3 linked regions of the Mus musculus genome follow. The protein of the gene in region 1 purifies or fractionates together with the protein of each later gene. This does not show direct contact. Links are inferred from orthologs where the notes say so. Each region holds a gene or a part of one and is shown on either strand. Other genes may lie near its edges.

Region 1 (3,650 bases):
GTTGAGTAATGTTTTGATGCTTGTCACTCAAAGTGCCAGCTACTCGTTACTCATTGTATCCTTAAAGAAAACAATGCCAATAAGACAAATCTGGGTTTTTCTCCTCTGAGGCCATTGTGGTGTCTAATATTTTGAAAGCCATCTACAGGTGGCTGGTTCATCATCAAACTTGGTGAACTCTAGTGTGGGACAGGCCCTAAAAAACCAAATGTAGCTACAATTACCTCTCCCACTTCATTAAGGAAAACAAAGAAGAATCTTAATATGCCTGTACCTTAGACATGTAATACATTTTGCCTTTCTTTCTCAAATAAAAAACCTAAGGTGGCCTCTAAGAGTAGGAAAGGCCTCCATGGCGCGCTAATGAGGGCCCTGGGTGTCAAGGCTGTGTGGACACTTGCTGTTTGCTGTGCTTCTGTCCTGTGTGCTCAACGGTCTTTGATGCAAAATAGAGTTGATGCTTTGTCAATTGGTTTGCTCTATTTCAATCCTTTTATCTTGTTACTAGGCTGCTCTTTGGCGTAAATTGCAATCGATTAGGGATCGTTTCTCAGACTCAAGTTAGAAGTGAGAGTTCAGATAAGTGAGGCCGACATTGCTGCCTTGAAGAAGGGGAGAATGGATTTATCAGGAGTGAAAAAGAAGAGCTTGCTAGGAGTCAAAGAGAATAATAAAAAGTCCAGCACTAGGTAATCCTCTGTAAGATTTTTTTCTAGTGCTATTTTGGGGGTGCTTGCTGTTTAAGGACCCTAGGAAAGGGGAGATTTTTGTTGTTGTTGTTCTACAGTGCGTGCCCTAATTCACAGATGATTTTGCTCTGTGATCACCTGGGATGTTAGTAATCCTTTTGGACCGCACTACTGGGTTGTGCTATCTCAGGGTTTGGTCAGAAGGGCTTGCAACCTCACATTCTATCTTATCATGCAGGGCTCCTTCTCCTACCAAACGCAAGGACCGATCTGATGAGAAGTCCAAGGATCGATCTAAAGATAAAGGGGCCACTAAAGAGTCAAGTGAGAAGGATCGTGGCAGAGATAAGACTCGGAAGAGACGCAGTGCTTCAAGCGGAAGCAGCAGTACCAGGTGGGGCAGAGGGAACCATGTCTTCCTTCACTGTGAAGCCCTCCAAGAACTTCTTTGGGGGAAAGGGGTGACACGTGTGTGTTGTGAAGGCCAAAAGTATGTTAAATTTCTTCCTTTGGGGAGGTGTGAAGGCCATCTGCTCTTCCATGTTCCCACAAACAAACAAACCTAGGTCCAGTTCAGCAAAGTTCACTCTAGGAAATCAGTGAGTTTACCAGGCTTCCAGTGCAGTGGGTGAAGGATAATTGGCAGGAATGTGGGTGGTAACTGCCCTGTGAATGTTCCCTCCCCACAGTCCCCTACTTAAAGCCTTTGCCTGAGACCTGAGGACCTGTGCAAATAGGGCAGAATTACAACTGGTTTGGAGGGGTGGCTGGATACTCCAGTGAGGGTCCCTTGACCCTGTCCCTTCCAAGAGAGACAAGCCCAGTGTGATGATCGTTAGTGAGCAAGCCCAGTTGAAGTGAGAATGACAGCAACTTTTCTGCGAGGGTAGTCCTGTATGTGTGGCTCCCTAAGAGCTGTCTGCCTAGCTTTTCCATACAGGATTTCATTGCTTCCTGCAGCTTGCCAATTGAATTGAGCTGGTTGCCCAAGGGAAGACTACGTTGTCTTAACTACATTGAAAACAGACCCTAGAGTTGTTGATAAGACCCTAATATAGCATGCAGGTTTTGTTTCATTATATATGTTATGTGGTCTTGCTGTGTAATGTGTGTTTGTGGATATAAACTCTCCTATGATACTAAAGTGTGATGTTTGGATAATGGATGAATTGTTTCTCTTGCAAGTATGTATTCATCCTGAAATGAGAATGACTGGCTTCAGGCTGGAGCCTTTTTTTTTTTTTTTAAACTGTGTTTATACATGCATACCATGTGTGTGCCTGGTTGTCACACAGGCCAGAAAGGTGCATTGGGTCCCCAGAAACTAGAGTCACAGGCAGTTGTGAGCTGCCATGTGGGTGCTAGAAACCAAACCTGGTTCCTCTTACCTGCAGAGACATTTTTCAGCTCCCAGTCTGCTCCTTTTTTTATTTAAGATGTATTTATTTTTATGTTATTTATGTATTTATTTTAATGTGCACGGTCACTGTCTTCAGACACACCAGAAGAGGTCATCAGATCCCATTGTGGATGTTTGTGGGCCACCATGTAGTTGCTGGGAATTGAACTTAGGACCTTGGAAGAACTGTTAGTGCTCTTAAACTCTGAGCCATCTCTGCAGCCCCTCTTTCTTTTTATTTTTAAGTTGAAAACCTGCCTGAATTGGTCTTCAGCCCTGTTGATCTGATTTTTGCTAGGCTGCTGCTTTTTCCTCATTGGTAAAAATAAGGATTCTGTGTAGGTAACAACAGCCCATCTCATACGGTGTTGGGACTTGTCAGATGTCATTACTGGTGAAATGGGGCTTAAGCAGGAAAGCACCGGGCAGTGGTGGCGTATGCCTTTAGTCTTAGTGCTTAGGAGGCAGAGGCGGGCAGATTTCTGAGTAAGAACCAGGAGAGCGATATCCTCTACTGAGCAGTCAGTCTTCTGTGCAGAAATAGGACTCTTGCTCATTGACTCTGTGACACCCCCACCTTGTCCTCAGGTCTAGGTCCAGCTCCACCTCCAGCTCGGGCTCCAGCACCAGCACAGGCTCAAGCAGTGGCTCCAGCTCGTCCTCTGCATCCAGCCGCTCAGGAAGCTCCAGCACGTCCCGGAGCTCCAGTTCTAGCAGCTCCTCCGGCTCCCCAAGCCCTTCTCGGCGCAGGCATGACAACAGGCGGCGCTCCCGCTCCAAGTGAGTTCAGAATGGCTAGCCTGCTCATTACAGTAGTTACTAGAAAAGTAGTTTGGGCTGACAAGATGGCTCAGCAGGTAAAGGTCTTTGCTGCCAAGCTTAACAGCCTGGGTTTAATTCCCGGGACCCACATGGTGGCATGTGATAACTCCCGTGGTTTGTCCTTTAACCTCCAATGTGCACAGTGACACACAAGTGAGGGGAAGTGCAGTGGTACATGCACATGTATTTGTACCAGGATAGTCGGAAATTTGAGGTCATGGTGGGCTGCGTGTGAGCCTGTCTCAAAAAGACACGAGAGCCAGGCGTGGTGGCGCACGCCTTTAATCCCAGCACTCGGGAGGCAGAGGCAGGCAGATTTCTGAGTTCAAGGCCAACCTGATCTACAGAGTGAGTTCCAGGACAGCCAGGGCTATACAGAGAAACCCTGTCCCGAAAAACAAAACAAACAAACAAAAAGACATGAAAGAAAGTGAATAAAAGTTAGAGGGTGGGCAGGATGTCTGAGTCAGTGAGGGTGCTCGCTGCCCAGCCCATCAACCAGACTGCCCTTCCCCGGAATACACAAGGCAGGAGCTGAGAAGGGCATCTCCCACAAGTTAGTCTCTAACTCTATGTGTGTTGCCCTGGTGCATGCCCCACAGAAGTAAAATAGACACAGATTTGAAGGGGTCTTAGTTTGGTTTCTGAATCAGGGATGATAGTCTTAGTGATCTGTTTCTGTGAAAAGACACCATGACCAAGGCAATTCTTATAAAGGATTGGGGCAGGCTTACAGTTTC
Region 2 (3,650 bases), on another chromosome or scaffold:
TTTTAAGAGACTACCTCTAACTCTAGCTGGCCTTGAACCCACTGAGTTTGCCTCAGGGATTTAAGGTTAGCACTGTCCCGCTCTTTTTTTTGAAAAACAATGACAAGCTTGGAAGTCTTAGGGATTGAGATAAAAACATCCTGAATTCAGGTACTAGGAAGATTCTAACCGATACTTTGCCCCAACCCTAAATTGGACCTCTGACGAAAGAACACTAATATTGAAAAGATCTCAAAGGACAGTGAGACATGCATAATAAGCAATGCTATTTTTTTTTCTTTAGATTTATTGTGGGCTGGAGAGATGGCTCAGTGGTTAAGAGCACTGCTGCTCTTCCAGAGGCCCTGAGTTCATTTCCCAGCAAACACATGGTGGCTCACAACCATCTTTTGGTGTGTCTGAAAACAGCTACTGTGCACTCATAAATACAAGTAAATCTTTTAAAATGTATATTAGTGCTCTATCTGCATGTATGCCTGAATGCCAGAAGGGGGCATCAGGTCCCAGTACAGATGGTTGTGAACCACCACGTGGTTGCCAGGAATTGAACTCAGAACCTCTGGAAGAACATTTGGTGCTCTTAACCCCTGAGCCATCTCTCCAATAATGCTAAATTTTTTTAGTGCTTGGGCTAAGGTATAAAGCCAGGATATGATAGTGAATTTGTGGTCTACATTAGCCTACATTATTTTTGGCTTGGAAGTCTTTCAGGGAGACTAAAATTTTTTCTTCCCATTAAATATATCATTGATGTTTGTTAACATTTTCTTCCATAGCCTTTCATGTTGTTGTTGTTTTTTTTTTTTTTTTAAAGATTTATTTATTTATTTTATGTAAGTACACTGTAGCTGTCTTCAGACACCCCAGAAGAGGGCGTCAGATCTTGTTACAGATGGTTGTGAGCCACCATGTGGTTGCTGGGATTTGAACTTCAGACCTTTGGAAGAGCAGTCGGGTGCTCTTACCCACTGAGCCATCTCACCAGCCCCAGCCTTTCATGTTTAACCTGCTTAAAAAATGAGAAAAATAAATTCAGATGAAGGATTCCATAAGTCATATAATTGGCACCATTGCTCTTGCATATATTGGGAGACTTCTCTTTGTAGTATAGATGTTTTAGTCTAAACCATTGTACTTTTTGAAAGTGGTAATGACCTTGCTTTTGTTTTGTTTAGACTTGGTCTTTCTTGTGTTTTGTTGCTCCTGGCTTGGGGAGTCTCATGTAGCCCAGGTCTGCCCAAGATCCTCCTTGCCTCAGTCTCTTGAGTGTGGGGTTACATGATTTACCACTACATCTGACTTTTATAGTTTTTCAAAGACTATGTATACCATTCTTAACAGTACTTGGTGAGATGGTTAGTGTTAAGTTCCTGTGACTGCTGAAGCCACATAAATGAGAGATGGTCCCTATAAAACTGTGCATCCTTCTGTAGTACGCAGAGCTCCAGCTCCATTGAACACTGTAAACTTTTCTCTAGATTACTTCATTACCTATAACTTAGTATTGATTAAAACTATCACTTAGCAAGTAATACGCAGATACTCCTGTCCTGTAAAAACTTACTGCTAATTCGTAGTGTAATAGGACCTTTCCTAGTGTTTTCAGCTTGTAACTCAAAAGAAGTAGCTAGCAAACTCTTCCTTGAACCACAGAAATCAATGACACTGAAAGGGGAACAAATTGGTTAAATATAGTAGAGCTGGAGAAAGTAATGTGTTAACACTAAAATTTTTCAATTTTACAAAAATAAATTCAAAACAAAACTTTTTAAAATTAACTTATCTTGGTTCCTCCGAGATGGCTCAGCAGGTAAAATGTGTCTGCCACCAAGTATGATGGGTCATATTTACTTTCCAGGGTTCCATGGAGAAAAAAAATTCACATAAATTATTCTGACTGGCCTCAGAATAATATCTAGAACTTGAATAAAATCAGAACACCTTTTTGTTGTAGTTGACTTTATGTGAATTGTTTAAGTATAAGGTAAAAGCAATTCATTCTAACTTACATTCTCTTAAAATTTCCATAAACTGGAAACAGTCCATTTTTTAAGTCTAGTCAAGCCTATCATTTACTGTATGTGTGAGGGGGGGCTCTTTCCTCTTGCAGCATTTTTCATCAAATTGAGTTTTGAATAACATAAAAAGGAAAAGAGGTGACTAAAACCAGTAATCCTGTTGTTATGCTCTGGTTGTATCTTGAGTTAATCTCTTCTCCTTCCTCTCCCCTCTCCCCTTCCCTCCTCCTCTCCTCTTCTCCTCTCTCCTCTCCTCTCCCCTCCCCCCTTCCCGTCTTCTCTCCTCTCCTTCCCTCCCTTCCCCTCTTCTCTCCTCTCCTCCCCTCCCCTCTCCCCTCCTTCTCCCTCTCCTCTCTTTCGTTTTTCGAGACAGGGTTTCTCTGTATAGCCCTGGCTGTCTGGAACTCACTCTGTAGACCAGGCTGGCTTCAAATTCAGAAATCCGCCTGCCTCTGCCTCGGGAGTGCTAGGATTAAAGGTGTGGGCCACCATGCCTGGCTGGAGTTAAATATTCACTTTGAAGAATTATTTCTTTAACCCACAGGATGTACAGTTACCCAGCGCGGGTTCCTCCTCCTCCTCCTATTGCTCGAGCTGTGGTGCCTTCCAAACGTCAGCGTGTTTCAGGGAACACCTCACGAAGGGGCAAAAGTGGATTCAATTCGAAGAGTGGACAAAGGGGATCTTCTTCCAAGTCTGGAAAATGTATGTTGTTTTTGTTTGTTTGGTGTTTTTTATGCAGCACACTCCACCTCCCAGGTAGTGCTTTTTTTTCCTGGCATTTGTGTGTAAGGGGTGGGGGCCAGTGTTTATTCCTGAGTGTTGATTCTTCTGAAGATGTAGTTGTGGGTGTGAGATAATCTGATTTGGGTGTTGAGAACTGAACTTCCCTGAGAGCTTCTGCAAGTATAAACTAGCAAACTCAACCACTTAGCTACCTATTCTTCCTGTTCTTGAGAAATTGCTAGCATTGACATAACTAGAGTGTAAACTTGAGTCTGGGTGATGTCCACTTAGTAAAGCTAATGCTTCAAGGGTAAGGACCTTGGTTTGTATCCCAAGCATTCATATAGAGCAGACCATCTTAGATGTCTTTAACTTCTCTTAGGCTGACACACAGCCCTGCACCTGCCTGCCACCTAACCTTGCAAAATCAGTGAGCTCCCACCCATTTCACTGAAAGATCCTTTCTCAAAAATGTGGAGGTGGATCCAGAGTAGTAATGGCTTTCATCCCTCCATTAGGGAGGCAGGGACACATCAACACTGTTCGTTCATTTGTTTGTTTGTTTTTGGAGACAGGTTTTCTCTGTGTAGCTCTGGCTGTCCTGGAACTCACTTTGTAGACCAGGCTGGCCTGAAACTCAGAAATCTGCCTCTGCCTGGGAGTGCTGGGATTAAAGGCATGCACCACCACTCTTTTAAAGATTTTATTTATTATATGTAAGAACACTGTAGCTGTCTTCAGACACTCCAGAAGAGGGAGTCAGGTCTTGTTACAGATGGTTGTGAGCCACCATGTGGTTGCTGGGATTTGAACTCTGAACCTTTGGAAGAGCTGTCAGTGCTCTTAACCGCTGAGCCATCTCTCCAGCCCAACACTGTTCTTAATCTCTTAAAACACCTCCTATAT
Region 3 (3,650 bases), on another chromosome or scaffold:
TTCCCCCACATGTATTAAACCACCCTATCTCTGCTCGAAAGTACCTGGTAATATGATATAAATAAGCTGGTACAGTTGTATGTAGATCATGTCAGCCTTTCCAGACATCATGGAAACAAACTTGGAATCACACAGGGAAGTAAATAGCGAGTAATTAGAAGAGTTAGTTAGTAGAATTAGTCATTAGAAGAGTTAGTAATTAGAAGAATTAGTTCAGTTGTGACTAGTTTGTTTAGGTAGGAAACCAGGAACCTTGAAAAAACTTTTGACAAGAGAGACTTCCGACACTGACCTACCTCCTTTCCTTTGACTGTGACTCAGCAGTCAGTGCATCAGGGGCCAGCTGCACCTAGTACAGACACCACTTGTAAGAGTGCAAGCGGGTGAGTTCTTGCTGATTCCTTAAACCAAGTAGCCCTTGGAGGTATTTGCTGCTGCTGCTTCCTATAGACTTAACACAGCCTTCTGACTCCTGCAGTTAGTTGCCTGTTGGCACAAAGACAAGGTGGTTTTGGCTACAGAAAAGAGAAAGTTGGCCCTTAGTTTGCAACCCCCAGCCTGTGCTAAGCATGAACCTCGTTGATTTCTGACACGTTAGTGAAGCTGGATGCCCCGATGCCAACCAGGTTTTGTTTGCTCTCTCACAGGTATGGCTTTGTGGAGTTTGATGATCTGCGTGATGCAGACGATGCTGTTTATGAACTGAACGGCAAAGACCTGTGTGGCGAGCGAGTCATTGTTGAGCACGCTCGAGGCCCGCGGCGGGATGGCAGCTACGGCTCGGGACGCAGTAAGCATGTGAAGGATAGATGTACCAATAACATACCTCGGTTTTAAATGCTAATTTTTAATGTATTTCAGTATTTTATTTAAAGGTAGATATTTAAGCTGTTTCTATACGAATATATCTTTTAAAATACAGATTGTAAATATTTGATGTCATGAGTTTCTTTTAATACTTTAAAACATTTTCTTCTGTAATACAACTTGACATATATTTAACAAAGACCTCAATTTTAATTAAAAGAATCCTTTGAGGTTAAGATGACCACCTATTCTACTTGCTGACCTTGGTCACCTTTCCATTTGGCTGACCAAAAAATAGGAAGCCATTCAGTGACTACAATCATACCCCATAGACCTGGGTGCAAGCAAGTCTATTTATTCAGACACAGATGAGATGAACTGAAATGGGTGCCTGCATCTTTTTCTTTCCATAAAAATTATTCACAAAAACTTTAATGACTAGGGGTAATAGTAGTAACTGATTTAATAATTTGCCTTTTCTAAATTATGTTTCTTATTTTATACATGCTAATTTAAAATATAAATATTAACTAGTGAATGTGTATGCCTAAAAACTTACTGAAATTTTGTGTTTAAACTTGAATTAAAGGTGAGGCTTTAGTTAAAATACACATGCTATTGTTTAGAAAGGGGGGATTGAGTTACATAGTTTAAGAGTGTGCTGTGTCATCTCCTCTTACACTCTATGATGTTGTCTGTTTGAACCTCCTAAAGGTGGATATGGTTATCGAAGAAGTGGCCGAGATAAATACGGTCCCCCTACTCGCACAGAATACAGACTTATTGTGGAGAATTTGTCAAGTCGATGCAGCTGGCAGGACCTAAAGGTTTGGACCTAGTTAACTTTCTAAGGTTGGGCATGGGTAAGAGGAGGAAGCAAGTCTTATTTATTCAGGCCTGGGAGTGTAAAAGCCGGTACTAAAACCTCACTCATACTTTCCTTACGTGGATGCCAACTGCTCCAAGGAATCATTTGTATTCCATGGAATTTTCCCCTGCAGACAGTGTTCTAGAGAGATGGCAGGGTGGAGCTGCATAGAAGAGGCTAAAAACCTATGTTTCTGTAAACCCGAGCTGGAACCTGACTGACTTCAGCTTCCAGTGTGGGTCCACACAGTGAGACTATCCAGCATGTGGTGTCCTTAGTTATGATTGTGTGCATAGATAATTGGTTGAGATGAAAATAGACCAGCTGGAAGTGGGTGGGGGTCGACCCATCTTTTAAGAACTATTTATTATGGGCTGGCCAAGGCTGCACACACCTTAATCCCAGCACTTGGGGGTTAGAGGCAAGCAGAGCTCGGTAAAATTGGAGGCCAACCTGACCTACACAGTGAGTTCCAGGCCAGTCGGGACTACATAGTGAGACTCAGTCAAAGAAATAAAATATTTTAAAAAGGAAGAGAAAGGAAGGAAAGAAGATTTTATTCAAAAATTCCAAGATCTAGCTAGGAGTTTTGGGAGGGGGAGGGGTGGGGTTCAATTCCCAGCATCCATATGGCAGCTCACTGCTGTCTGTAACTCTAGGATCTGAATCTGACGTTTGCACACAAGCAAAACACCAATGTGCAAATAATAATAATAATAATAATAATAATAATAGACTTGAGTTGGACTGGGCTGTAACTTGGAGCTGAACACTTAAACCTGGCCAGTGCCTGACCTGAAGCTCAGCACCACAAGAATGAAAAAGTTAAGTTCTGCTGCTGCTGCTGCGGCCATCCAAGGAGCTAGAGTTCACGTCTTGAGTTTCTAATCTTGGAAGGGAAGAAAATTTGCTAAGAGTGTCTTGACTCAGTGAACTCAGAATAAATGAAAGGCAAACTGTTTGTTTTAAACCAAAATGAAGGCGTTGAGAGAAGGGTGGTCAGGCATACTTCACATTTGTGTTAGGGTTTGTTTGGGGTTTTCTTGTTTTTGTTTAGTTTTGGGGTTTTTGTTGTTGGGTGTTTTTGGGGGGCTTGGTTTTTCAGAGACAGGGTTTCTCTGTGTATCCTTGGATGTCTTGGAACTAGCTCTGTATATCAGATTGGCATCTAAATCAGAGATCTGCCTGCCTCTGCCCCTGAGTGCTGAGATTAAAGGCACCGCCTTGCCATTCATTTTATCATAAAGGATCTTTTTCAAGTTTGCTAAAGACAAACCTTTAATTTAACAAAGATGAGATGCAGAGAAGCGTAAGGAGTGATTGTGCACACCGCCTTCAATCCCAGTGCTCGGGGCAGAGGCTGAGACAGGCAGATGTCCATGAGTTGAGAATAGTCTGACATAAAAGGCTAGCCCTTGGGGGTGGAAAGATAGTTTAGCAGTTAAGGACCTATAACTGGGAGTAGTTAAAAACACTTGCAGCTCTTACAGAAATCCCAAATTCAGTTACCAGCACTCCACTGTGGAGGCTTATAGCCACCTGTAACTTCCACTCTAGGAAATGTGATGGCCTCTTCTGGCTTCCATGGGCACCTGTAACCACATGTACATTGCCACCCACAGATACACACATATGCACATAATTTAAAGATAAAACTCTAGATGGCTTGGCAGTTAACACTGGGTGCTCTGATGCTCTGAGGACAGGTACAGTTCCCAGCACGCACATGGCTGCTCACAGTCATCTATAACTACAGTGTCATGGTCCCCAGGGCCCCTTTTCTGACCTCTGCTGGCAGCACAAGCATATGGTACCCAGACACTCATACCCATAAAAGCATACAAGGTGGCTCACAGTTGTCTAACTCCAGTCCCAGGGTATCTGATGCCCTGTTCTGCCTTCCAGGGGCTCTGTGTGCATGTGGTGCACATGCATAACACTGTACATACAAAATAAGAAAACATTTATAAATAAA

The links.
Region 2: the proteins of Rnps1 (region 1) and Hnrnpc purify together in Homo sapiens (co-immunoprecipitation; 3 studies listed by BioGRID and IntAct, with this or other methods). This does not show direct contact. The link is inferred for Mus musculus from reciprocal best matches to the Homo sapiens genes RNPS1 and HNRNPC.
Region 3: the proteins of Rnps1 (region 1) and Srsf4 purify together in Homo sapiens (co-immunoprecipitation; 3 studies listed by BioGRID and IntAct, with this or other methods). This does not show direct contact. The link is inferred for Mus musculus from reciprocal best matches to the Homo sapiens genes RNPS1 and SRSF4.

What each region holds. Positions count from the first base shown.
Region 1 is NC_000083.6:24,417,530-24,421,179, forward strand, and holds part of Rnps1 (RNA-binding protein with serine-rich domain 1), read left to right. Parts: intron 1-508; 5' UTR 509-618; coding exon 619-689; intron 690-927; coding exon 928-1,083; intron 1,084-2,676; coding exon 2,677-2,868; intron 2,869-3,650. UniProt on the Homo sapiens protein: Part of pre- and post-splicing multiprotein mRNP complexes. Auxiliary component of the splicing-dependent multiprotein exon junction complex (EJC) deposited at splice junction on mRNAs.
Region 2 is NC_000080.6:52,076,476-52,080,125, reverse strand, and holds part of Hnrnpc (heterogeneous nuclear ribonucleoproteins C1/C2), read left to right. Parts: intron 1-2,562; coding exon 2,563-2,723; intron 2,724-3,650. UniProt on the Homo sapiens protein: Binds pre-mRNA and nucleates the assembly of 40S hnRNP particles. Interacts with poly-U tracts in the 3'-UTR or 5'-UTR of mRNA and modulates the stability and the level of translation of bound mRNA molecules. Single HNRNPC tetramers bind 230-240 nucleotides.
Region 3 is NC_000070.6:131,890,560-131,894,209, forward strand, and holds part of Srsf4 (serine/arginine-rich splicing factor 4), read left to right. Parts: intron 1-647; coding exon 648-790; exon of another isoform or gene 791-850; coding exon of another isoform or gene 851-875; intron 876-1,521; coding exon 1,522-1,634; intron 1,635-3,650. UniProt on the Homo sapiens protein: Plays a role in alternative splice site selection during pre-mRNA splicing. Represses the splicing of MAPT/Tau exon 10.